7 linked regions of the Coturnix japonica genome follow. The protein of the gene in region 6 interacts with the protein of the main gene of each other region in a pairwise test. Links are inferred from orthologs where the notes say so. Each region holds a gene or a part of one and is shown on either strand. Other genes may lie near its edges.

Region 1 (3,043 bases), on a different chromosome or scaffold from region 6:
CTGAAAGTATACCTGTGTATTTGAGAATAGATGTAAGACAAATGGTCACTGATGAGACAGCGCAAAGTCACACACAAATCCATGAGGTACAGCCATTTGTGTTTTGGCTTGTAGAACCTCTCTCCAGCCTAGAGATGCAAGTAGATCCTTCACAAGGGGAGGCTCTGACTAGCAGCATCAGCAAAGCAATGGTTACCTTTAGGAAATGCTGATAGGTACAGAACAGCTTCGGTTAATGTCAATGGTTGCTCTTAACATTTGAGAAAGCAATTATGTTCCTGCCAAAACTTCAGTTATCTGGATGCCTGATAACAAAGAGTGGCCTGTTGTTAGTGTTTTGTGTGTTCTTTCCATAATACTGCAGATTGAGATCAGGCATTCCCATTCCACAGGCTGTTTTAGCTCTATGAATGCCACTGAAATTCATGACTCTTTATAGCCTCTGGGTGAACTCCCCCCATAGTCAAATACAAGAACAAAATAAACACCTGATGACAACGTTGTGGAAAAGAAAAAAAAAAAAAGAAAAAAAACCCTTTATTTCCAGATATACAAATCATCATTCTCTCATTTCTCCATCTTCTTCCTCTTCTTCCACACCTCTGATGTACAAAACATTATTGCACCTGTAAATAGAATCAAGAGCTCCCTTAGTTGAAATGTCTTAATTTCCCTCGCAAATACAATGTTCACTTCACATGGGAGTTACAGCAGCATTTAGTGCTCCAATACACAGAATCACACAGAATCACAGAATTACCCAGGTTGGAAGGGACCTCAAGGATCATGTAGTTCCAACCCCCCTGTCTGGCAGGGCCACCAAACATACACATTTACTAGATCAGGTTGCCCAGGGCCCCGTCCAACCTGGTCTTGAACACCTCCAAGGACGGGGCATCCACAACCTCACTGGGCAGCCTGTTCCAGGACCTAACCACTCTTCTAGTAAAGAACTTTCCCCTAACATCCAACCTAAATCTTCCCTCTTTCAACTTAAAACACAAGCACATCCCCTAGATCCACCAGCTTCAACAAAGCAGTAACACAAGACACAGAAGTCCCCACAAGACCCCGTTCCCCAGCTCAGGCACCACGATTACCTTATCAAAACTTCTCCCAGGTGTCCAGACAGTGCTCCATCGATGTACTCTTCTGTGTTTGCAAGCTTGGAACGAAAATCAGCACAAACATTACACCAACAGGAGCCTCACTACTGCTTCCCTCCCACAAGCAAGCAAGGCCCGGGTCCCTCCCTCCATCCCTCACCTGCATGTTCATGTAGCCGTCGACGGAGACGAGGTATCCCTTGTACTCCATCCCCCACTTCAGCTTCACCATCACCGGTTTCCCCGTCAGCCCGTTGAGGAAGGGCTTCGGGTTGAGCGGCAGGCTCTAGGGGAGAGCAATGGTCAGCACCGCCCGCCATCCCAACCGCTAACGACAGCCTCCCCCCACCCTGCCCTGCCCTGCCCTCACCATGGCGATGGGGCGCGATGGCGGCCCGAGAAGCGCAGAGCCAGGCGGGATCGCCTCGTGCGCGCCGCGGGCTGAGGCAGAATGGAAGGCAGCGCTGAGATACCTTCCACTTCCACTTCCGTGCCGCCGCGCCGACCTCCAACCTCTCACCCCGCCGCGCCGCCTTCGCGATTGGCTACGGAGCCACGGAGCGCGAAGGGAAAAGGGGTTGTGGGCTCAATCTTATTAGTTGGAATGGCCGCCCTCCTCATTGCTCCAGCCAATGGTCGTATACCACCTCTGGTTGTGTCGTCTGTGGTGGCCGGGGGGTGGCAGCGCAGCACTGTGCCGCCGCTCTGCTCTGTTAGGCCTTTGCCCCTCCATCCCTCTCCTCCCCTTCCCTGTCCACCTCTCCCTCAGCCCCCGGCTGCCTCACACCGTGTCTTCTGCAGATCCAGAATGTCCCCCCTCACATCCCTACCTTTATGGATGGATAGGATAAGAGCAGCAATTACGATTCTTCTTAATAAATGTTTATCTGAAGTGCACTCGTATTTGTTTCTGTGATAATTTATAATGGATGTGTTTGTCCTCATGTGTTGGCTGGGGAACAGAGATAACGTTAAAATAAAGCTTTTTTTTTTCTTTCTGACAGTAAAACTCACTGGGCGCCAGTTGAAAGAGAATTGCTTATAAGTTTATTGCAAGGAAGTTAGTGCTGAGGATATGTAGGAAATAATAAACAATGTGGGAAATCGTGTATATGGACGGTTTTCATGCCCCTTGCAGCAAAGAATAGAGAACTTGGAGTGAAAACATACAAGGCGTCAGAATGCAATGAGCTCAGCATGAGTCCTTTGGGTTAAAGGCCATGGAAGACTTGCACTTTTCTGACAGTTGTTAATGGTGTATATGTGAATGACAATAGAACAATATGAGTGTTTTGTCTGTAAACAGCACTTTTTAGGTTTGGAACCAACTTTTATCATGTCTCCTACTTGTGTTGGGAAAGCTGTGTACCAAGAAGTACAGGACCAGCTACATTCTTTTCTTCATATAGTCAGTTCCTCTGATGCATGACTTGGAGAAGGACTTGGGGGTCCTGGTGGATGAGAAGCTGGATGTGAACCAGCAGTGTGTGCTTGCAGCCTGGAAGGCCAATGGTGTGCTGGGCTGCATTAAAAAGGGGTGGCCATCAGGGAGAGGGAGGTGATCGTCCCCCTCTGCTCAGCTCTTGTGATGCCCCATCTGCAGTACTGTGCCCAGACCTGGAGCCGTCATCACAAGAAAGCTGTGGAACTCTTGGAATGGGTCCATAAGAGGGTCACTAAGATGATCATAGGGGTGGAGCACCTCTCCTATGAAGAAAGGTTGGGGGAATTGGGCTTGTTTAGCTTGGAGAAGAAAAGGCTCCGGGGAGAACTCATTGTCGCCTTCCAGTATTTGAAGGGAGGGTAGAAATAGGAAGGGAAACAACTGTTTATGAGGGTGGATGGTTGTAGGACAAGGGGGAATGGTTTTAAATTGAGATGGGGAGGTTTGGGTCAGATATTAGAAGAAAGTTTCTCACACAGAGAGTAGTGACCCA
Region 2 (3,500 bases), on a different chromosome or scaffold from region 6:
AAATCCCACAAAAATACCCGATTTTAATAAACAGTAAAACTGTTGAATTTATTCTTAACTTCAAAATATTCTCGTCTCCTACATTCTTCCTCAAGGAAAACTCATTGGAAAAATCTTTCCAGATTGAGAGACTTGCTGATAATGAAACACTAATGATTTGAATGTCATGCCCACAACTAGTAAGATATTTATCTCTTTCCTAAAACATCATATTTAAATCCAATTCAACAGAAGCATGAACTGAAACGTGTGATGCACAAGAAAAATCAGCACTTTTTAGAAGCAGGAGGCCATCATAAAGTCATTTTATAGAGCATCTGCGAACTTGCTGGCGCTGAAAAAAAATCATGCTGTTTGCAGATTTGAACATTCTATCATATTTTGACTGTTTTCTAGCTTACCTGAGCTAGACTGTTTAAATATAGATACCACATGCTTTAAAAATACAGTTAACTGTTCAGCACTCTTTATATTGGGGTTCTTAGCCGAAACATCTTCATGATTCCAAAGTGGCCCTCTTTTCCTAAAAACATAAAAACAGAGCAAATGTGACAGAATGAAAACCATGGCCTTTGTCACTGGTATTAAATGTTATTTTTGCCTTAAGTAACTGCAAAATAATCTACTGCCTATCACATAAACAAAGCCACTCAGAATTACAGACACAAATCAAAGAACTTTGACAACAGCTTAATATCTCTACAACAACACACAGAAAAGTAGGAAAACAGTGAAAAGCAATGGATCAATTGTAACTGAACAATGTAAATCTAAAGAGATGCTCTCCATTAGGTGATATTTAGTTACCTAACAAAAAGCCAGTTACTGCTACCACTATTATATAACTGTTAAAACCACATTCTTTCATACCTTTTTCTTCCCAGCAATAAACCACACTATTCTAACTTCATGGCCATGAAAATCTTGTTTCTGTTGTTGGCAAGTTTCTCTTAACTTCTGATTAAGCAAGCTGGGTTTCAGACTTAGATGATTTTGAAAGCTTTATATACGCTATCATATAAACTAAACAAGTGCTGCTTTTTTTTTTCTACAGATGTTATTTGCCACTAATGTCTTCCCCCCCCCGCACATGTTCCCAGCTGTTTTCTGTAAGTCAATCCATAACCTTCCCACAAATCTTGCAGCTTTCTAATAATTTTCTGTATTTTTTCTCTAGGTTGGAAGAAACTATGAGGAAGGCAATGACAGTGAACCTATGCTGAACATGGTAAAAGACTTTTAAACACTCAGGACAAGAAAAGGGGCCAAATTCATTTAGATAATTGGAGATGTAGGGTTGTTCACACACTACACCACATAGAAACACTTCAGGGTCAGATTTGATTTTCATACTGATACAACATTTCTCTAAACAAAAATGGAAATGAATATCTTACCTTGAGGTAATGAATTCTATGAGAGTTTTTACTTTTTCATCCTGCTCTACTGAAATGTCAACCTCATTGAGGATGGTGGTGTGCATATGAGACATGGCAGCACTCGTATTTCCTAAACTGATGCTAGAAGAGGTAGAACTTGAACTAAGCCCTGAGTCAGTCATTGGGGAGGGCTGGTAATCAGGTATAAAATCATGAACACCTGCTGAAATAAAAATGAGACCATTATCAGTTCAACAGTTCAATACTAAATAAATAAAATGAAAAATGAGCCCTCTAAAAATTAGTAAATTAACAAATATAATGAGAATAATTTCATGGATGCAATAATTTCAAATGAAATCAAAGCCTGAGCATGACTGAACCCTTAATAAGGAACAGTTAGATTCTCCCTTTTGAATCACTGGACGCTGTTTGATTTTTGTATTGTTAATACAGTGAAACTACAGCTCAACAGCCTCTGAAGCACCTCATCATAGAGGAAGTTGAGACAAGTGATCCAAACTGCTTACAAATAACACGCAGATCTTTTCTTTTTTGATTAAAACTCAGTCCTACTGTAACTACCAGCACTTTAAGTCAGCAAACAAGAAGTTTTAACTAGTGAATCAGTTCCAAGTAGGGCCTTTCTAGCTGCACAGCTTCTGAAGTTAGCTTAATACAGTTCCTGTTCTCCATGAAAAGAACCACACAGCCATGAAAGAGAACTGTACCATCTCCTCGCATTATGCCTACATTGACAAGCTGCTAGGAGAAAGCAAACTGACAAAAGAAGACAGTCATGAATCTCTGACTGCAATAAACTTGAAACCCACAGACAAACACCTGTGAACAGGTTTATATAAAATAATTCCCTGAGTGTGCCCACTTTTTAATTCCCCGTAACTGTGAATTATCAGATGCAGAAAACAGATGCCTATTTTTGGTCACAAACAAAACCACTTCTGATTTCAGAATGGAACCAGCAGATTTTATAGCAATGTGCTGCCACCTACTGAATTCATATGAAATACTCTTTTCTTTAGAAAATACATTAGGCTTACACCTATTATTTTCACAGTTACACAAAAAAACCCATATTATTTATTGCATAATGATATTGTGATGCTTAAGTAGACCTCACAAGAATACTGTGCTAGGTTATTAAACAAGCACAAAAGACTGAAGTCAACAGTTCAAAGTTCTTATGCCCAAGAAAGAGATGCTTTTTCCTGTTTAGTTTTGTTTTTTGTTTTTTAATTATTTTATAAACAACTTAAAAACTGTGCTGTTACAGACCCAAAGCATAGAATTTCCTCTGTTTTTTTTTTAATTATTAATTAATTGCTCAACTGAGCTCACTACTCTGACAACGGGGCACAAAGTGTGAATGTGAACATTACTCATTCGGTCTTAAAATACTTTTTAGCCAGCTAAGCGGAGCTGAAATAAAATGTACTTTGCTAACAAGGGCTCTGAAAAATAGTAAAGTAAAAGAGATAAAGCCTAGAATTAAACTTCTGCCATTTTAAGAAGTCCAAAAGCATACCTGTAAAAGTATAATCTAAGTGTGTAGTTTGCTTGACAGTAAGCATCCTGGATTCATTGAACTCTCTGTTTCTGAGTAGGACAGAAGCAACAGATTGGACATTACTGCCGGATCCCATCACTATCAGCAGATGCAAAAGCAGTCGTTTACAATGCTCATAAACTTCAGGGTGACAGTGGTCAAAACCTAACACAGATTAAAAAAAACAAAAACAAAACCAAAACCAAAAAAAGTTGTATTAAATGCAGAGAACAAGAGAACACATTTGATTATTACAAAAATAGCACATCTTCCAATTGTTATACTTTATCAGATTGACACATAGGGAAATAATTAACTGCACACATGATTCCTGCTAGATACAGAAGCTATTTCTCCCATACATAGATGTTTTTTTCAGTGTTCAAATATAAAAACAAAGCACACAGTTTAACAAACACGAATATATCCTCATTTCTTACACAGCAGTCAGAAATTAATATGCTCTCTGTATGAAAATTACAGAAAGGAAACAGAAGGAAAAAATAAGCAGAATTTCACTTTGTCTTCTACAAGAAGGCAAAGGGAAAGGTGAA
Region 3 (3,500 bases), on a different chromosome or scaffold from region 6:
AACAACTTCATGACCAACACAGATCAAACATCCATCCAGTCTACATTGTTCTTTTTTTTGTTTTGTTTTGTTTTCATTATAACATACAAATGCCCATTTACAAATAATACACCAAAATGAATAAAAGTTTGGATACCAAAATGAAGATTTGTTCCAACCGATATAATGCCTTCAGTGTACAAAGGTCCATGTTAGAGTCTTTTCCATGTGTTACATCGTAGGGCACAGTTGCAGTACAGAAGTACTCTGAGAGCCATTCTTCCTTTAGAAAATACTGCTGAACATCCAACTGTTGTCCATATAGTCATTTACAGAATTAACACATGTTTTACTGTAATCTTGGCCAGTACTGAGACATATCAGGTTCACTGCCAGGAACTTGAACTGGAACTGACACTCCAGGGGAAATGAGACCTGAAAATTGAGTGGGAAAATGGATATTTTAGCTTTTCTATAGATAGCACAATATTTGCTCACCCATTTCAGTTTCGTATGATGCCTTGTATCCACCAGCCTGCAGGAATGGGCTGGGGGAGGATACGCTTTCAAAGCCTATGTGCATATATTCGAGCTGTTATGAATAAACTGTCATATTTGAGGTAAGTGGCAGAGCCCCAGCTCTATGCTATCCACTGGGAACTCAGCCTAAAATACACTGAACATTCCTATTTTTTTAAATGTCCCTCTGTTGCTCCCGGTGATACTGACAACCTTTTACCCTGTTGTGCCTTATTAGCACGGGTCAGTGCTCCCAGAGTTACCTGCCTCTTAGATAACAGAGCCCTGGCAAGCAGCATCCTTTGGTGTAGACGCAGCAGTGACATGCTCAGCCCCGTGCACACTTCACTTTGCAGCAAGCATGGCTGTGCCAGTGCCTAGCACCACAGTGAATGCTGCTGTGCTCAGCCACAACGAGGTCTGCAAAAGGCTAGTGAGCTCCCTCAGAAGCCTCACCCCACCCAGCTGTGGGCATGGCCTCATTAACCCAGTGCCTCCCACCCCCTCCCCAGCTGAGCCCGCTTGCTCACCTGTGGAAGTGGTGCCAGAGGTGCCCATGGGCTGGCTATTCATGTGTGTCTGCATGTGCGGAGGGGTGTAGGTGTCATAGCTCCGGCCGTTCACTGACGGGCTGGTGGGCAGCATGCAAGAGTAGGAGGAGGTCTGGCTGGGTACCGGGGGCTGCAAAGATAGAGCAACGTTAGGTGTGGGGACAGCCCTGGGGCTCAGCGTCTTGGCATACCCGCACACATCCCCTCCACCCAAAGGTGCCAGTGGCACAACACGGCCACAGAGACCTGCTCACACCACACCTCCACCCAGAGGTGGCTGTCAGGCAGCCACGGGAGCAGGGAAGGCCCAGCAGGGCCACAGCCCTGCCTACAGCCCTCTTTGATCCTTTGTCGGCTGCGCTGCCCGCCTCCAATATCGTGAAATAAGGGCTTAACCGGCGCAATTCCTTTCCCTGAACTTGAGAGACTCTAACTTTATTTGGTTAATTTTGGTTCAGCAATTAGTAACATGGTAATTGCCGCGGCGAAGGAGTCAGGCTCTCTAATCGGCTCGCCCGTCTCCAGCAGTGGTCAATGCTGCATGCCTCAGACAAAGCTGCACAGCTCCCGTAATTGGCCAGCACCTTCCTAGGCCAACCCCACCATTAAAAAAGGAGGAATTTTGCATCTGAAAGGTCTATAGAAACGGACCCCAAAGGAATAGATTTCTTCCTCACCCAGCTGGTGATCAGCTAATGCTTTCAGGCATGAGGATTGACAGCTCTTGCAATTCTGGCTTAGCTGGCAGAACCACTGATGCTAATCGCACCCTCCCCTCACTCAGGTGTCCCTCACGCGCTTCCCTCCTGCAGCGGAGCACTCCAACAGCACTCCGACAGCACACAGCCCCGTTGCCATGCCTTAATCTCAGGGTGGGCATTCTTATCTGAAATGGGGTTCCTCACACCGGACCTGCTGCCTCACAATTGTAAGGTTGGAAGAGACCACTAAGACCATCTAGTCCAACCCTCAAGCCATCCAACCATCAACCGTTTTGAGGACCCTTCCCTTCTGAAATCCCAGAGCAGCGCTCATCCGAGCACCATGCCCTTTCTGCAATGCTGTGCTTACTTGCATAGGCAGGTTGTTGGCCATGGTGAAACTGGGCATGGGCGGCAGCGCGCTGTACGTGTTTGTGAGCGCCGTGTCTGTCCTGCCCAACATGGAACCTGATGTGAAAGAGGAAACTATAATAGAATAGACAGATAGATGGAGACATTAGTTTAACCACAATTGCGCTCGGTGGCACAGTCCCACGGTCTCGGTGTCCCGAGGATGGCTTCACGCGGGCGGGTTGGCTGCATTACCGGGGGTGGTCGGCTGTGGGATCGGCTGGTAAACGCTTGTGCTGAAACTACTGCTGATGGGGATGTGGCTGGGAGTGTTGCTGGCTTGTCTCCGCTGATTCCGCAGCTTCTCCTCCCTTCTCCACTTGGCCCTTCTGTTAGAAAACCACACCTGGAAGCACAGCGTTTGAGGCGTGAGTGGCCCGGTGGGGCGAGGGCATGTGGCTCCCCAGGGCACCCAGCACAGAGCTGCCCCACAGCACAGCAAAGCCAACCCCATCTGCTGCTACTTCCTGATGGAGGAGATGGGCAAACACCCAGCCTAACACCTGGCTTCAGGAAGCCACTCATAACAAATTACGCTGGTAAAAGGAAGAATGATAACAGTGGTAACAATGTGGCATCTCTGTACCTGTATCCTTGCTTCAGGCAAGTCTATTTTAGCAGCTAGTCGCTCTCTCGCAAACACATCGGGATAGTGGGTCCTCTCAAACTCTGCAAGGAGAAGTATTGCCATGTGAGTTGTAGAGAACAAGTGTGGCTGATGGTCAAGTCCAGCCCTGTGGCACAGCCGCACCGACTGTGCCTGCAAGAATCAGTGCTGTGAGGCAGCGCTGAGCTCCCTGAATAAATGTGTGCTGGGAAGGACCCCAGGTTGTGGGCCATGGCAGGGCTGGGGCTGAGCATGATATTCTTACCCCTGTGAGGAGCTCCCATGGTACCCTGACCCCATGACCAAGAAGCCGAGTGGCACGTGGCTGCATGATGGCAGGAAATCTGGGCAGTGAGCCGGCCACGGCTGGGGAAAAGGGCACTGGCTGCCAGCCTTGGGCAGCAGCAGCACTGGGGATGGGGAGCAAGCATGGTGCTGGCACTCAGCACCCAGTCCTACCTGTACCCAGTGCCTTGTCCTACCAGCATCCAGTACCCTGCTATGCTGGTACTCAGTTCCCTGCCCCACCACCACCCAGCAGGAGGAGGTCAGCCAGGAGTGCAGCACTGCACTGAGCCCTGCGCTGCCCTTTCTGTTCTCCGCAGCCATCGATGGGGGTCGGAATGAAATGGCATGGAAGGAGCCAGGGGCCTCAGAGCTGTCGGTATCTCTATAAGGCACGTGAATGCCAGGAATCTGCTCAGCTCCTAATGTAGCCAGGGTGTCTCTTGC
Region 4 (3,500 bases), on a different chromosome or scaffold from region 6:
ATTTATAATTTATATCTCCAGCTTCTTTCTGCTCATTGAGTCAGCAGGAAGGTAGTGTGCATTTACTAAAATCTGCATCAGAGAAGAGCTGACCAGGAACCTCCTGTGGGAGCAGAGGCAGTCACAGAAGTTCTAAACAGTCTTAGCAGTACTCTGTAGCACTGCTCTGTGCCCCCCAACAAACGTGAGATGACTCCTGCAGCCAGGCAGCCATGTGCCAGCCTCTGCAAGTGCACTGAGGTGCAACTTCATTGTGTCATGGGGACCATTTGCACCTCAGCTCCTCCAGCTCCACAAAGAAAGCCATCAGGCACTGAGAGTCATGAGGTGCAACTCTTAAAAGTTACAAACAGTGATTGTCAGAGGACAAAACATGTGATGAAACAACCTGATGGAGGCAACGCTATTTTCAGTCTCATTTGGAATCTGTGTCTAGCAGGTAATGATGGTTAGTCACACTGCAGCAACTGCCTCCTGTATAACAACTGTCAGATCAGCCTTCTATTAAAGTAATTAGTATTTTGCTGTGTTTGTGCCTTCCAACACGTAGAAGGCCAGGCTTTCCACTCATGACAACACTGCCATTAACGCACGCTGGATGACTCAGGAAGGTGAATGTTGTCACCTGACAGGAGCTGGGTAGAAAAGGTCCCTGTCAGTACAGAACCTGGTGGGCAGCCCTGTTTTTGTTACAGCAACTACACAAAACCTGCCCAGATCTGTGAGTTAGCTGGGAATGCACAGTAATGTTCCTTGAGTCACAGTGGTGCCCACAAGCCCTCATTTTTCAACTGCAGGATCCCTTGTACCCAACAGCCCCATTCCCCAACCCCGTACCTGCTCGGCTGGGAGGATCCCTGATGGGCGGTGGGGGCCTCTCGCTGGGTGGCGGTGGCAGGGGGCCGGAGCGGCCACCCCCAGAGCTGGGTGCAGCAGGGGGCACCAGGGACAGGTTCCTCTGGGGCAGTCGTGGCATTTCATCACTGCTGGCAGGACCAGGGGGCACAGGGGGTGGTCCTGGCCTGCTGGGGGGTGGCGGGGGAGCAGGGACACCAAGGGGTGGCCGCGGTGAAGCGGGTACAGGTGGCTTGTTGTTCTGCGGTGGTGGCGGCGGCAGGGCCATGTCCCGGCTGGAAGTTGGTCGGTGCCCGGAAGGAGGTGGTGGTGGTGGTGGTTTCTCATCCAACGGTGAGCGACCGGGTGTGGGTGGCAGTGGTGGTCTGCCCGAGTAGGGGGCTGCTGGGCCTGGGCCAGACTGCCGCAGGGAGCCAGCTGACCCTGTGCCCCGGCTGCCTGGGAATGGTGGTGGTGTTGGCCCCAAGCTGGGCTGACGGTTGAGAACTGGTGCTGAATTCCGTCCGTGCAGACTGGAGGCAATGGGCCGGGGTGTGCTGGGCACTGGTGGTGGTGTGGCTTCAGGTTTAGAACCCACGTCAGGCCTGGGTGGCGGCAGGCGGCTCCTCTGAGGGTCAGCAGCTGGGTTCCGCTGCCCCAGTGGCGGCCCTGGGAAGCGAGGTGGGCCACTTGGTGCTGAGAATGGCTTGGCAGCAGCAGAGCGGGCTCCAGGTGGCAGTGCAGGTGGGCGGGCTGTCCCAGCATCTGTGCAGGAAGAGAGACAGACAGAGGGCATCAGCACCCATGGAGAGGACTTTCCTCACACAGCAACACAGCTGCCCAAGTGTTTGGGGATGCTCCACAGGAACAGTCAGCAGCAATCTCAGTGTTACTTGGGATCTGCATCACAGTAGTTAAGTTTTGCCAGCTCATGAGGAATGGCCTGTGGGGGACCCAAGTGACTGCAAGGCAACATGAGTATACAGCCTTCACAGAGCAAGCAATAATGTCAGGAAGGAAGAGAAGAACTGGTTATGAGCAACTATTTGATACCAGAAACCCAAAAACAAGAAGAGCTGTAGCTTTGAAATGGCATTTAACAACAACAACTGTCCAGCAAAAGGGCTTTGCAGCCCTTTCTAGTATCTGTGAACTACTTGTGTTCTTGTGTATGTCAGCAAGAAGGCAGCCAGCCTTGCAGTTGAAGAAACACTGTCCCGTTGTGCCAGGAACTTTTGCATTAATACAAGTTCCCAAAATAGACCATGACACAATAGAAAATACCAGCTCCGAGAGACTGTTTTGTACAAATGTGCTGAAAAATTACGTTAGTCCATAAAATATGCAGGATTTGTAATATTTTATGACCCCTGTTGTCCAGTCCTCCTTCAACAAGTGTGAAATGCTACATCCTGATCTCCTTTGTTTGAAGGGGCAGCTGTTTTGCCAGCTAGAAGAACGCAGTGTGTGCCCTCCAACTGCAGCACGCGCAGCATCCAGCTGGGATGCCTCATGCACTCCCTAAGTGGTAAATCACACTCCTGAGGAGCTGACGCAGATGTACTTTCCAAATGGAAAGTTGATCTTTTTCCTGGTACAGAAGGAAGAAATAATCCATATTCCTCTTGTGCTCCTCTCTGGTCCTGCACACCCACAGCTAAGGCAGGACCTCATCCTACTTCACAGGCAGCCACTCAACACTGCCAAGATCTTTAGTTTTCATCAATAATTAGGAGGAGTGGAAAGTGGGGGTCTCACTTCCTCTTCATAAAACCTAGTATTAAGAATGAAACAAGATTCAAGATGAAAATTTCATTTCTTGATAGCCTAAGATATCTGAAGGCATTCTCAATCCCAGCAGGTAATTTATTGTTGTGGTATGTAATTAATATAAGTAATGTGTCATTTACTTGTTTGCACTGAAATTGCAAGATCTTTCTTACCAGCATCTCGACTCGCAGCAGATCTGAGCTTTGGCATTCCTGCTTGAAAAAGTCCTCCAAGACCAGGTGGTCCACCACCACTGAAGCCACCACCACCGCTACCAGCACCAAAACCCCCACCGCTGCCACCGCCACCTCCTCCAAAGCCACCGCCACTTCCACCGCTTCCCTTGGGTTCTGTTGGAAAAAAAAACAAAACCATGTTATGCAGAGAAGCGAGGCTGATCCTACGAAGTATTCTCTTTCATTACAGCAACTTTTGTAAGTGGAGAAAAAAGGTCACAGCCACCACTACCACTATTGTGCCATGGAAGAGGTGGAGCAATAAACACAGCTATTGAATTTTATTAAGCCATCACTTTCCTTTTGGCTGCTCAGGACTGGAAAGCAGAGAAACAGTCACTCTGGAGAATTTGGAACTGAAAAATGGATGGAACCTCTGAGAATATCATGTTGTCTTTGTTAACATCTGTGTAGCTGCTTTCCATTTCTTCATACTATTGCTCTCTTATCCTTCACCTTCATTACTCCATAAGCCAAGCGAAGGACAGTAAATAAGGAAAATGAAGAATGAGGGAGGAAGATAGAGGTGTTCTTTCCCTTGGGGGCACCTCTGATGAGTGCATGGAAGAGATTTAATTACTGATGACCTTCCTCTATGCTCACAAATGCAGAGAGATGATCATTAGCTGCCATTTTTTTTTTTTTTTTCCCAACATAAAG
Region 5 (3,200 bases), on a different chromosome or scaffold from region 6:
AAGTCTGTAAATGAAAAGCTGTTAAAATTAATCACCTGTACTATTTTTCAGAATGACTACCTTTGATTTTATTCTGTAGGGGCGAATTCATCAAATAGAATATGCCATGGAAGCTGTGAAGCAAGGCTCAGCCACTGTGGGGCTGAAGTCAAAAACACATGCTGTTCTGGTTGCTCTAAAGGTAAGGTTAAAACTCTGTTCTGCAAACACCAGTGTTAGTGGAGAAGTTTTAGTCTGGCAAATTAGTTCAGCAAAGTCCTGAACTTTTATCTGTGCATAAAATAAATGCAGTATCAGTTTCCTTTTCCATTAGTGTCAGTAAAGAAATATAAGCATTTTCAGTACCCATGCTAAGCAGATTTTCTCAAAATGGGTGAAGGAAAGGAGTGAAAGATTTTCACTTTAAAAGATAGAGTTGTTGTGTTTTTTTGTTATAAAGCAGTATATGGGAAATCACAGCTTGAACCACTGATTAATCAGCTGAGGCAAGTGTTGGGTCAGCTGCGGGAGCACAGGTGAGCGTAATGTAGCTGTACTCCTGGAAGGGGTGGACTTTGACTCCACCTCCTCTGAGACCTCATTTAAGGGCTGACCACCACTGAGGAGCATCTCTTGGAGATCGCTCCCCAGTGGAGACTGCCTCAGCTATCTGGTCCAGGCATTGACATTGGTGAGTTTTCTTTACTGATAACCTTTGGCTATTTATCACCATCTTGGTCAATATATTTATATTAGCCACCTTTAAATCATCCTCTGTTACCACCTTTACAAGCAGCAAAACTACTCACTTCCTTTTCCAAACCTTGGAAACCTTGGGCATCTGATCATTGTTCCTGACAGTCTCTCACTGAAGTGGAATTATTTTTTTTCTTGTCTTCTGTTGCAAGTTTACAGATCGTTCTTTGTTTGTTTGTTGTCTATTGCTGATGTTTTGACTGTTTTGTGATCATATTCGGTTCTTGCAATAAATGTTAGCAGATTGCTCCACAGTGCTTGGCAAAGTGGTCAGTCTGCCACATAGTTCTCTCCTTTTGTGTGTAGCGAGCGCAGTCTGAGCTGGCAGCTCATCAGAAGAAAATCCTGTATGTTGACAACCATATCGGTATCTCAATTGCTGGACTTACAGCTGATGCAAGACTCTTGTGGTGAGTATCTTAGCTGTTGACACACACGGTTCTGCAAGAAGTGAAAGTTCACATGTAGACTACTGCAAACAAAATTTTGTGTTCATCTAAAGTTTGGCCTTGGTCTGTTGTGCTTTGCCAAAGACCTCAATATGAAATTTTGGAAGGAATTTAAGTTGCTGGCAGAAAACTCCTTTGTTTGGCCCCGAAATTCGCTCTTTGCTTTTGTTACTTGTGAGACCGTAACTGTCTGGTTTCCTTGGTGTGGTGGGGCTTTCAAGCAGTCTGGACAAGTGCATTACCTATTTCCCTCTAGTAGCTGCTTCTGTTATGAAAAACACACTGCTGAACGTACCAGCTTCAGGCAGATTTCCCTTTTACCTGCAGACCACACATGGCTTGATCAAAGAAGGTAATATATACTAAAAAGAAGATGATTCCCTGGTTATGCAGGAAAACACAAAGATGGAATAGGAAGAATTTTTAAAGTAAAATTTAATAAGTAGAATTTTTGAAGTAAAATTTATTTGCTGTAAGATGACAAAGATACGTTACTGTTTAACTGTGGGTTTTTTCCCAGAGACTTAACATGTGGCCTGGTACACTTCCACCTTCCCTTGGCTGGTATGGGTGAAATGCTCTGAGACTCTTTCAAGCCTGTCGTCAGCCTCCTAAATAACAGTTATAAGTCACAATGAAATGAAATTGTGTAATGCCCTCGGCTGCTTTTCTCAACAAGCGGAGCTGGAACAAGAATACACTTAACAGGCAAATACCGAGGAAAACTCAGTGTGGCTTTTGTCTATACACTGATTTGATTTTTCTTCCTTTTCCTTCTAGCAATTTTATGCGTCAGGAGTGTCTGGATTCTAGATTTGTGTTTGATAGACCTCTTCCAGTATCTCGTTTGGTGTCACTAATTGGAAGCAGTATCCTTTAAAATATATATTATATATATCATAATTTAAAAGTAATGCTAAACTGAAAAAGTTAATTAAAGAGGTGATTTTTCTTCATTCACATTGTGTGTTAATTCTTTCAGAGGACATCCCAGAACTCCGTACTGGTATAAAGGCAGTAAAATGCTATGAACCATTTCACTCACTGCTGGTTTTTTGTTACATAGCACCATGTTTTTGGAGGTGGAAATATGACTGCACTGCACAAAACATGATCATTTGCTGGACTGCAGCTGCTTGCTTACTTTTTTTTTTTGTGGTAATTAATGTTCTCTGTGCTTGGAGCACAGAGGAGGCCTTGTGTTCTGTTATCAGGTGCCTAGGTAAAGTTAAAGGGCTAAGAAATTAAATGAGGCTGCATTAACTGAACTGTTTGTATTACTTGGTTGAATGCACTGCTCAGTTCTTCTGGGAAAGCCAGCTCCTAAATGTTTTGGTGAAAAAGAGCCAGCTCTGGTGTTCCAAATAAGTCCCGAGGACTATTTCTTCAAACACGGCCTTTGATAGCACAGAAAGCTTTGTAAAGGCTACGCAACAATTTTGGAGTGTTTGCGCATTGCTCAGGAAAATGTTTTCAGTGTGATTAACACGTGCCTTTGAGATTGCTTCTTTAGCTTACTTTAGAAACGCAGATACCAACGCAGCGCTATGGCAGAAGACCATATGGTGTAGGACTGCTCATTGCAGGTTATGATGTAAGTAAAAACTGTTCTTTACAAACACTGCGTTTGTTTTTATTTTTTTTTTAACAATAGCTTTGCAAGAGCTGGATAGGAATGGTGGTATAGTAAGCAATGTAGGATGCTTACTTGCATGCATATAAACTATGTAATGTATTATGAGCAAAACTGTTTTAGAAAATATCGTGTGTTCCTACAGGAGTTTACGTGTTTGTTTTATGTTTTTTCTTCCTGTAGGATATGGGCCCTCACATCTTCCAGACTTGTCCCTCAGCAAACTATTTTGACTGTAAAGCCATGTCCATTGGTGCTCGTTCGCAGTCAGCACGAACTTACTTGGAAAGACACATGACTGAATTTACTGACTGTGAGTAATGAACTTGGCTATCTAATGATCTTTATCAATTACACAGCTTATTTTCTGCCTCTGTTCCATT
Region 6 (2,529 bases):
TCTCCCACACAGTCATGCAGCAGCTTGACTCTGGTCCTCTCCCTTGTCTCTTAAGAGCAGCCTCCCTCAGCAGAGCTGACTCACCCAGGTGTGGCACAATGGCCAGGTCAGCCCTGATCAATGAGCAGTACAACACAGGCATGGGCTCAGATGCAGAGCACGGGCAGAATCTGTATCCAGCTCCACCTTGTGGGGCACAGCCATGGAAAAGAAGTGTGAGAGAGCAGGGACAATCAGAATGTCAACTTTGGCTTAGTTTTTCTTTCATACTCCAAACCCCACCTCCATCACCACATATTACAGTAACAGATGCAGACAAAACAGGCATTTCTTGGAGCTGATCTCTATTTCAAAGGCTCCTCCTGTTGGAATAAAATGTGAACACTGCTATGGGTACAAGACCCCAGAAAACTTTGCCAGCTTCTTTCCCTTCTTAAATACCCTGAAACAAATATGACTACAACAGCTCCACCCCTACACAGCTGTGAGAAAACTTCATGCAAAACAAAATAAAACAGAAACCAATACCAACAAAAACAACAGAATATTAAAAAGAAAAAAAGAAAAGAAAGAAAAAAACAAAAACAAGAAAATTATCCTCCAAACAGAAACACCCCTCCCTGGCTACACAGGTCTGGAACTTTCAGTGTTTCCTCATCATCCCTGTGCAAGGGATGGGCTTTGCCTAGACACAATCCAGCACAGAGTCACCAGCAATTCTCCACTCCAGCAGATTCCCAAGGTGCCAGACCCAGTCCTGTCCCAACTTGCAGGCAGTGTGCAGAAGATGTGGGTTCCTCTCTTGGTCACCCCGTGAGTGAAAGGACGGGGAGGCCCTGCCTTGATGCTGGTCTGCCCAGGACCATCTGGATGCAGAGAAGGCATTACATGGCAGCCAGTGCTTGCTAAGTAATTACAGTTTCTGCAGACCTGGGAAACATTCCCAGGGTTACTGCTGTCTTTGCTTAACCTATGGAAGCAAAGAGGGCAAAAAAACAACCACAAAATCCATATCAGCACTCCTGTAAGGTTACTATCTACTTCTACACAGACACTGCTTTGTCATTCAGCACAGGGCTATGCATGCTCCTAACTAACTACGGGGGCTCAAAGGACACTATGAGAGAGACATGATTTTTCAGGTTTCTGCAGTGTCTCCCTCAGGCCTTGCTTGATTCCTACAACTAGACAACATCTACGGTAACCCACAGACTTCCCACAGGCCCCACAGGGCACTGGTCCCAGCATGCTCCAAATGCCTCCTGTTCTCATTTAATCTGGCTAAGCGTGGCAAGCTGGGACCTGTACCCTTCAAAAGGAACACTGCTCATCTGACACAGAGCAGGACATCTCTGTGGACTGTTTCCCTATAAAAGAGAGGGGGAAAAAAAGAACCCAAACAAGAGCAACTGTGATTTGCTCCATTTAATTTCAATTAACTACAGCCCTTAGAGGCCAGGAGAGATGCCAATCTAGCAGTTGGTTGGCCATCCCCTTGGGCATGTCCCATTTCTCAAATGCCCCTTTCCCAACCAGGCCTTTGCTCTCAGCTTAAAGAAGTTTTAAGAATTCATTAAATCCCACTGTGTTAAGCTAATAAGAGCTTTAAAACCTGCAGTTCTTTTTCCTCTGGAGGCTGGAACTGAACAGCACTTGGGCAGGCAAGCACCCTGCTCTGCAGTGGTGACTCCGCTACCTCTGTAAGCTCCTGACAGCAACCAGTGTTGTTGCATCCTGTTAGAAAGACATGATGTAGTTAGGGCTGGAAAAGGAGCTAGTGAACTCCTCAAAGTGCTGATACCTCTTTTCCCTCCCTAAGTCGGGAAACAAGCAGCTTATTTTGCAAAAGGCAAGTGGTTCCCTAAAAAAACTACTGAAAAAAAAAAAATAAATGCAAAGGCTGCTCAGCCCCTTCCCCTAGAAAACTGTAAAAATGTTGGAGACACAGTGAGACACAGTGTGGCAGCAGGGAGGCTGGGAAGGCAGCAGAGGGACAGCTGCTGTCTCTGGACCGTGCCACAGCCATGACAAGGTCCAGAGAAGCCTGACTGTGACTTGTAGATGCTTCCTGTGGAGGATACAGGAGCTCAGGCCCTCTCTGCTCTCCAGCTCGTTGTTCAGTGGGCAGTAAGTGGCTGCGGCTGGTCACCACACTGTCCAGGCAGCTGCTGGTACGTTGGCATATCCTGCCCAAACAGACCTCAAGGCTGTTCTGTGATCAAAATTGCTGTCAGTGACCAGTCCCAGGTCAGGCTCCCCTCCTCCGGAGGTGTCTCCTCTGAGCATGCTGCTGCTCAGTTGCTCTCCACCAGCTTGGCTAGTCCTTGCCGGATCTCACTGAGCTCAAAAATCTTCACGTCCATTATCTCTGCCACCTTGGTGACCTCATTCTGGATCTTCTCCCTCTCAGACAGGGTCTCTGCCAGCGTCTGCTCGGCCAGGTGAAGGCGGCGCTCCAGCTCTGCATTGCGTGCCTCCAGCTCCTGCCAAAGGACACAATTGCAGTGAGGTGGCTGCCCCGGCACTGAT
Region 7 (3,986 bases), on a different chromosome or scaffold from region 6:
TTTGGAGGCGCAAACGATCCCTACAATGACAAATAGGTGAAAAGCCATTACAACAAGTTCTCAACACAAGAAGCTCCCTGCCACGACTCCCACACTTCCAAATAATCACCAGAGGAACAACGTTTGCAGGCTGAGAATTTGGCTATCCAAACAACTGAAGTGTTAAGAGCTTTGTTCTGCACTCTGAACACCCTTTATATGTTTTTATCCTTAATGACCACAACACAGTTTCCAGGAAGAGCACATCCTGCTTTAAGTTGTCACACTTACCTCCTAAACTTGACTCAAAACATCTCCTAGATTCTTAAATAGCTGCCTGAAATCCATGCTTGTAACTACTGGGCGCATCAGCAAACATTAAAATACCCTGAAATGCTTTGCTAGGAACTTTGGTGGGTTCTGTTACAGTAACTTAAATTACTCGTTAACAGTATGTTCACACACTCCAAGTACAGAATGCTTGTATGTGAAGCCCGCACCTCTCTTTCTGCTTGGCACTCTTTGGCAGCGTCTGCATGCTGAACTGCAGCATGTTCCGGCGGTCCTTGTCTCTCCGAAGGTTCCTCTGTGGGAATGCAGCAAAGAATAAAAGGACAGATTAGTGGCAAAGTAATTCTGTATTGCTCAATCTCTTTTTTTGAGCCTGTTTCTGAAAGTAAAGCTTTACCTGTGCAAATCGCATGCGATTCCTCTGGTATGCAGTTTTCTGTGTCCGGGCTGTATCCACCAACTGGAAGCTGGTCTCATCCTCCTCATGGAAATACGCATATTGACTTCCACCACCAAACTGTGATGAGTACTTGTCTGGAAATAAAATAAATCATTTTGCTATGAAGCTTGGAAGCAAAAATATGACACTCCACCCGCCCCCCCAGTTTTCCTCAGTAGCCTTTACTCAAGTCTAATGCATCAACTAGGACTCCTGCATTAGACTGTCACATTGCCTCCCTGCTCTGAACCTCCCAGAGAAGCACCAGTCAGCACATGGAACAAACCCACAAGGGAACCCTAAGGGCAGGGAGAGCCCCACGCAGCTCTCCAAGCGGTGAGACACGCTTCTGAAATTAAAGAGCCTCCTCTGCTGAGGTGTGTATGTAGCCGGTAGAGCCAGTGGGAAACACGAAAGCAGGGATGACGTTTGAAGTAAGCTTTGCACAAAATAAATAGCAGGAACAGCCATTGGACAACACGTACTTGTGTATCTCTTATCCTGATACGTGGCTCCTGTCCAATCTGCCACCTAAGGACAAAAATATACAGTAAAAAAAAAAAGCAAGTGTTAATATGATGTGTGTGTCGTCCCCCCCCCCAGTAGGGCCTCAAAAGGCAAAATAAGGGACTGCTGTATGCACCTCAACTCCCACCTCCATAAGCAAGCCTCACAGAATGCTCACAACTGTCAAGGTGCTGGAGAACCATATAATGTCATATCTCAGAATGGCTCAGGTTGGAAGGAATCTTAAAGAATATCTAAATCCTGCCCCCCACCAGCTCATTCACCGGCTTTAAGCTGCAGGTGTATGGGCACCACAGCTCTCTGGGCAGTCTGTGCCAGCGCCTCAGCGTCCTCTAAACAAAGAATCACAGAATGACCCGGGTTGGAAGGGACCTCAAGGATCATGTAGTTCCAACCTGCCTGGCAGGCGCCAAACATACACCTTACTAGATCAGGTTGCGGGCCCGTCCAACCTGGTCTGAACACCTCAAGGACGGGCATTCACAACTCCCTGGGCAGCCGTGTCCAGGGCCTAACCACTTTCCTAGTGAAGATTCCCCTAAAATCCAACCTAATCTTCCCTCCTTCAACTTAAAACCATTTCCCCTAGTCCTGCTATTATCAGCCTTTTGAAGAGTTTACTCCCTCCTGGGAGTAGTTCCTTCAGTACTGAAAGGCTGCAATGAGGTCACCCGCAACCTTCTCTTCTCTAGGCGAACACCAACTCCCTCAGCTGTTCCTCATAGGGGAGTGCTCCAGCCCCTGATCATCTTCGTGGCCTCCTCTGGACCCTTTCCAAAATTCCATGTTTTTTGTACTGAGGGCTCCACACCTGGACACAGTATCCAGATGGGCTCACAAAGCAGAGTAGAGAGGACGATCTCCCTATCCTGCTGACCACCTCTCCTGATGGAGCCCAGGATCCATTTGCTTTCCGGGCTGCCAGAGCGCACTGCTGGCTCATGTTGAGTCTTTCGCACACCAAGACCCCCAGGTCTTTCTCTGCCGAGCAAAAAAAGAGACCCCTCCCAACGTCTAACCCAGCTCCCCACTCTGGTAGCTCAGCAGAGGCACAGGGGTGCACCCAGCAGCCACACAGCGCAGTACCTTGCCCAGGCGGTCCCCCTTGCTGAAGGGCTGGTAGGGCATATCCTTGAACTGCTCGGGCACGGCGCACGGGCCCCAACCCGAGGGGTTGTCCTGGATCACGGGGGTCACGAACTTCGCCATGGCTCACAGCCCTGCGGGGAACAAGCGGAACGTTCCTTCAGCACCCGCCCCGTCGGCGCCACCGTGAGGGGAAGGGGCACCGAGGGAGCCCGGAGCGGGCGCAGGAAGGCGGGGGCGCCGGCCCGGCCCCACCGGAACCGGCGGTAACGCCTGGGCGGGGCCGGGGGTCGCGCTGCCCGCGGGCCGGTCCCGGTAGGACGGCGGAGCGTGACGGGGCGGCCGCGGCGTCCCCTCACCTGAGCGGCCGCGTTACGGCCCCGATGGCGACGGATACGACAGCGGCGGCGACGGCCGGCGAGGAAAGGCCGCGCGCAGCCCCGTCCCGCCCTTATTGCGTCAGCACTGCGCGACGGCGCCGCCGCGCACCACCGTCGTAAAAGAGAGAGAGCGAGGGGGCGGAGCGCGACTGCCGTAAAGCGCGGATCTCCCGTTAGGCGCAATGCGCCCCGTGACGTCACCGCCGGCATCGGGCTGTACGTGGTGGGGTGTGACGTCACCACGGCTTTTACTTACCCGGGGGGTAGGGAGGGGGCAGGGTGGGTTCGTCGCGTGCCTTACATAGGATCATTAAGGCTGGAAAAGACCTCTAGGATCACCCGGTCCAACCATCAGCCCATCCCCACCATCCCCATGACCACGTCCCTCAGTGCCACATCCACACGGCTCTGAACACCTCCAGGGACGGTGACTGCACCACCTGCCTGGGCAGCCTGTGCCACTGCAGCACCTTCCTCATATCTCAATCTTTCCTCATATCCAACCTGACCCTCCCCTGAGGCCATTCCCTCTCACCCTATAACTGTTACCTGTGAGCAGAGGCCGACCCCCACCTCACCACAACCTGTTTGCAGAACGTCCCTGGGTATCTTGCACCATCTGAGTCTAGATCAATATTTTGCAGGCAGAGCACCGTGCATTTCCTCCTTTATTTACTGCGTTTAAACCCTCCTCGAGAAATAACCGAAGCAGTCTGCTTTGCCAGGAGGCTGCGCCATTAATCAGAAGTCGGATTATTAAAGCAGTTTTCCCCGCTAGCAAAAAGAGAAATCCACTTACAGAAACACGGTTTATAAAATACCATTTGTAACTCTCACAGGCAAACAGCCTTTGTGGTGACAAACGTCAGTGCTGGAACAGCCCTGGATATCACAGACTCAACCTGAGCATAGCCACGTTCAAGTCATGCTTAGGAAACGTAAAAGGAAGTCCCAAAGAGCAAACGGAATGAAGAAAGAGAAAACAACTAGACTGATAAACCTAGACTCTGCATTCCCCCTGCTTGCCTGTTCCCTTACAGTCCTGTGTGAGGTGCTGAAAGGCAAGTGTAGCGCTGCTGCTGCCTGCTGAAGAGTGCTGGCACTTCGGGCCCAGCCCCTCAGGCTGCCTCGTCTGGGAATGGAGCTGGGTATTAGTGTGTCTCAGAGGGGAAAGCAAGCACAGGGAATGGCCATCAGAGAACAAATGCTCTTTTAGGCACATCATAACCTACCGGTTTCTTATCAAGAGGAGAAACTTCAGCTGCAAGAAAAATCCAGCCTTG

Evidence for each region.
Region 1: the proteins of HOMER3 (region 6) and SNRPF interact in binary tests that used the Homo sapiens proteins (3 or more experiments, as listed by UniProt). The two-hybrid records come from large-scale screens. The link is inferred for Coturnix japonica from reciprocal best matches to the Homo sapiens genes HOMER3 and SNRPF.
Region 2: the proteins of HOMER3 (region 6) and FRYL interact in binary tests that used the Homo sapiens proteins (3 or more experiments, as listed by UniProt). The two-hybrid records come from large-scale screens. The link is inferred for Coturnix japonica from reciprocal best matches to the Homo sapiens genes HOMER3 and FRYL.
Region 3: the proteins of HOMER3 (region 6) and PAX6 interact in binary tests that used the Homo sapiens proteins (3 or more experiments, as listed by UniProt). The link is inferred for Coturnix japonica from reciprocal best matches to the Homo sapiens genes HOMER3 and PAX6.
Region 4: the proteins of HOMER3 (region 6) and WIPF1 interact in binary tests that used the Homo sapiens proteins (3 or more experiments, as listed by UniProt). The two-hybrid records come from large-scale screens. The link is inferred for Coturnix japonica from reciprocal best matches to the Homo sapiens genes HOMER3 and WIPF1.
Region 5: the proteins of HOMER3 (region 6) and PSMA1 interact in binary tests that used the Homo sapiens proteins (3 or more experiments, as listed by UniProt). The two-hybrid records come from large-scale screens. The link is inferred for Coturnix japonica from reciprocal best matches to the Homo sapiens genes HOMER3 and PSMA1.
Region 7: the proteins of HOMER3 (region 6) and EIF3D interact in binary tests that used the Homo sapiens proteins (3 or more experiments, as listed by UniProt). The two-hybrid records come from large-scale screens. The link is inferred for Coturnix japonica from reciprocal best matches to the Homo sapiens genes HOMER3 and EIF3D.

Annotation. Positions count from the first base shown.
Region 1 is NC_029516.1:41,569,987-41,573,029, reverse strand, and holds SNRPF (small nuclear ribonucleoprotein F), read right to left. Parts: upstream 1,634-3,043; 5' UTR 1,480-1,633; coding exon 1,477-1,479; intron 1,393-1,476; coding exon 1,267-1,392; intron 1,166-1,266; coding exon 1,101-1,165; intron 627-1,100; coding exon 560-626; 3' UTR 501-559; downstream 1-500. UniProt on the Homo sapiens protein: Plays a role in pre-mRNA splicing as a core component of the spliceosomal U1, U2, U4 and U5 small nuclear ribonucleoproteins (snRNPs), the building blocks of the spliceosome.
Region 2 is NC_029519.1:59,904,090-59,907,589, reverse strand, and holds part of FRYL (protein furry homolog-like), read right to left. Parts: intron 3,112-3,500; coding exon 2,926-3,111; intron 1,603-2,925; coding exon 1,398-1,602; intron 1,229-1,397; exon of another isoform or gene 1,178-1,228; intron 524-1,177; coding exon 402-523; intron 1-401. UniProt on the Homo sapiens protein: Plays a key role in maintaining the integrity of polarized cell extensions during morphogenesis, regulates the actin cytoskeleton and plays a key role in patterning sensory neuron dendritic fields by promoting avoidance between homologous dendrites as well as by limiting dendritic branching.
Region 3 is NC_029520.1:4,663,366-4,666,865, reverse strand, and holds part of PAX6 (paired box protein Pax-6), read right to left. Parts: intron 2,831-3,500; coding exon 2,748-2,830; intron 2,508-2,747; coding exon 2,357-2,507; intron 2,237-2,356; coding exon 2,121-2,236; intron 1,180-2,120; coding exon 1,029-1,179; intron 415-1,028; coding exon 329-414; 3' UTR 1-328. UniProt on the Homo sapiens protein: Transcription factor with important functions in the development of the eye, nose, central nervous system and pancreas. Required for the differentiation of pancreatic islet alpha cells.
Region 4 is NC_029522.1:15,023,208-15,026,707, reverse strand, and holds part of WIPF1 (WAS/WASL-interacting protein family member 1), read right to left. Parts: intron 2,955-3,500; coding exon 2,778-2,954; intron 1,600-2,777; coding exon 838-1,599; intron 1-837. UniProt on the Homo sapiens protein: Plays a role in the reorganization of the actin cytoskeleton. Contributes with NCK1 and GRB2 in the recruitment and activation of WASL.
Region 5 is NC_029520.1:14,583,674-14,586,873, reverse strand, and holds part of PSMA1 (proteasome subunit alpha type-1), read left to right. Parts: intron 1-79; coding exon 80-181; intron 182-1,041; coding exon 1,042-1,145; intron 1,146-1,964; coding exon 1,965-2,053; intron 2,054-2,707; coding exon 2,708-2,778; intron 2,779-3,000; coding exon 3,001-3,130; intron 3,131-3,200. UniProt on the Homo sapiens protein: Component of the 20S core proteasome complex involved in the proteolytic degradation of most intracellular proteins. This complex plays numerous essential roles within the cell by associating with different regulatory particles.
Region 6 is NC_029543.1:2,761,741-2,764,269, reverse strand, and holds part of HOMER3 (homer protein homolog 3), read right to left. Parts: intron 2,484-2,529; coding exon 2,295-2,483; 3' UTR 1-2,294. UniProt on the Homo sapiens protein: Postsynaptic density scaffolding protein. Binds and cross-links cytoplasmic regions of GRM1, GRM5, ITPR1, DNM3, RYR1, RYR2, SHANK1 and SHANK3.
Region 7 is NC_029516.1:47,223,708-47,227,693, reverse strand, and holds the start of EIF3D (eukaryotic translation initiation factor 3 subunit D), read right to left. Parts: upstream 2,801-3,986; 5' UTR 2,683-2,800; intron 2,458-2,682; 5' UTR 2,447-2,457; coding exon 2,324-2,446; intron 1,241-2,323; coding exon 1,195-1,240; intron 805-1,194; coding exon 668-804; intron 566-667; coding exon 480-565; intron 21-479; coding exon 1-20. UniProt on the Homo sapiens protein: mRNA cap-binding component of the eukaryotic translation initiation factor 3 (eIF-3) complex, a complex required for several steps in the initiation of protein synthesis of a specialized repertoire of mRNAs.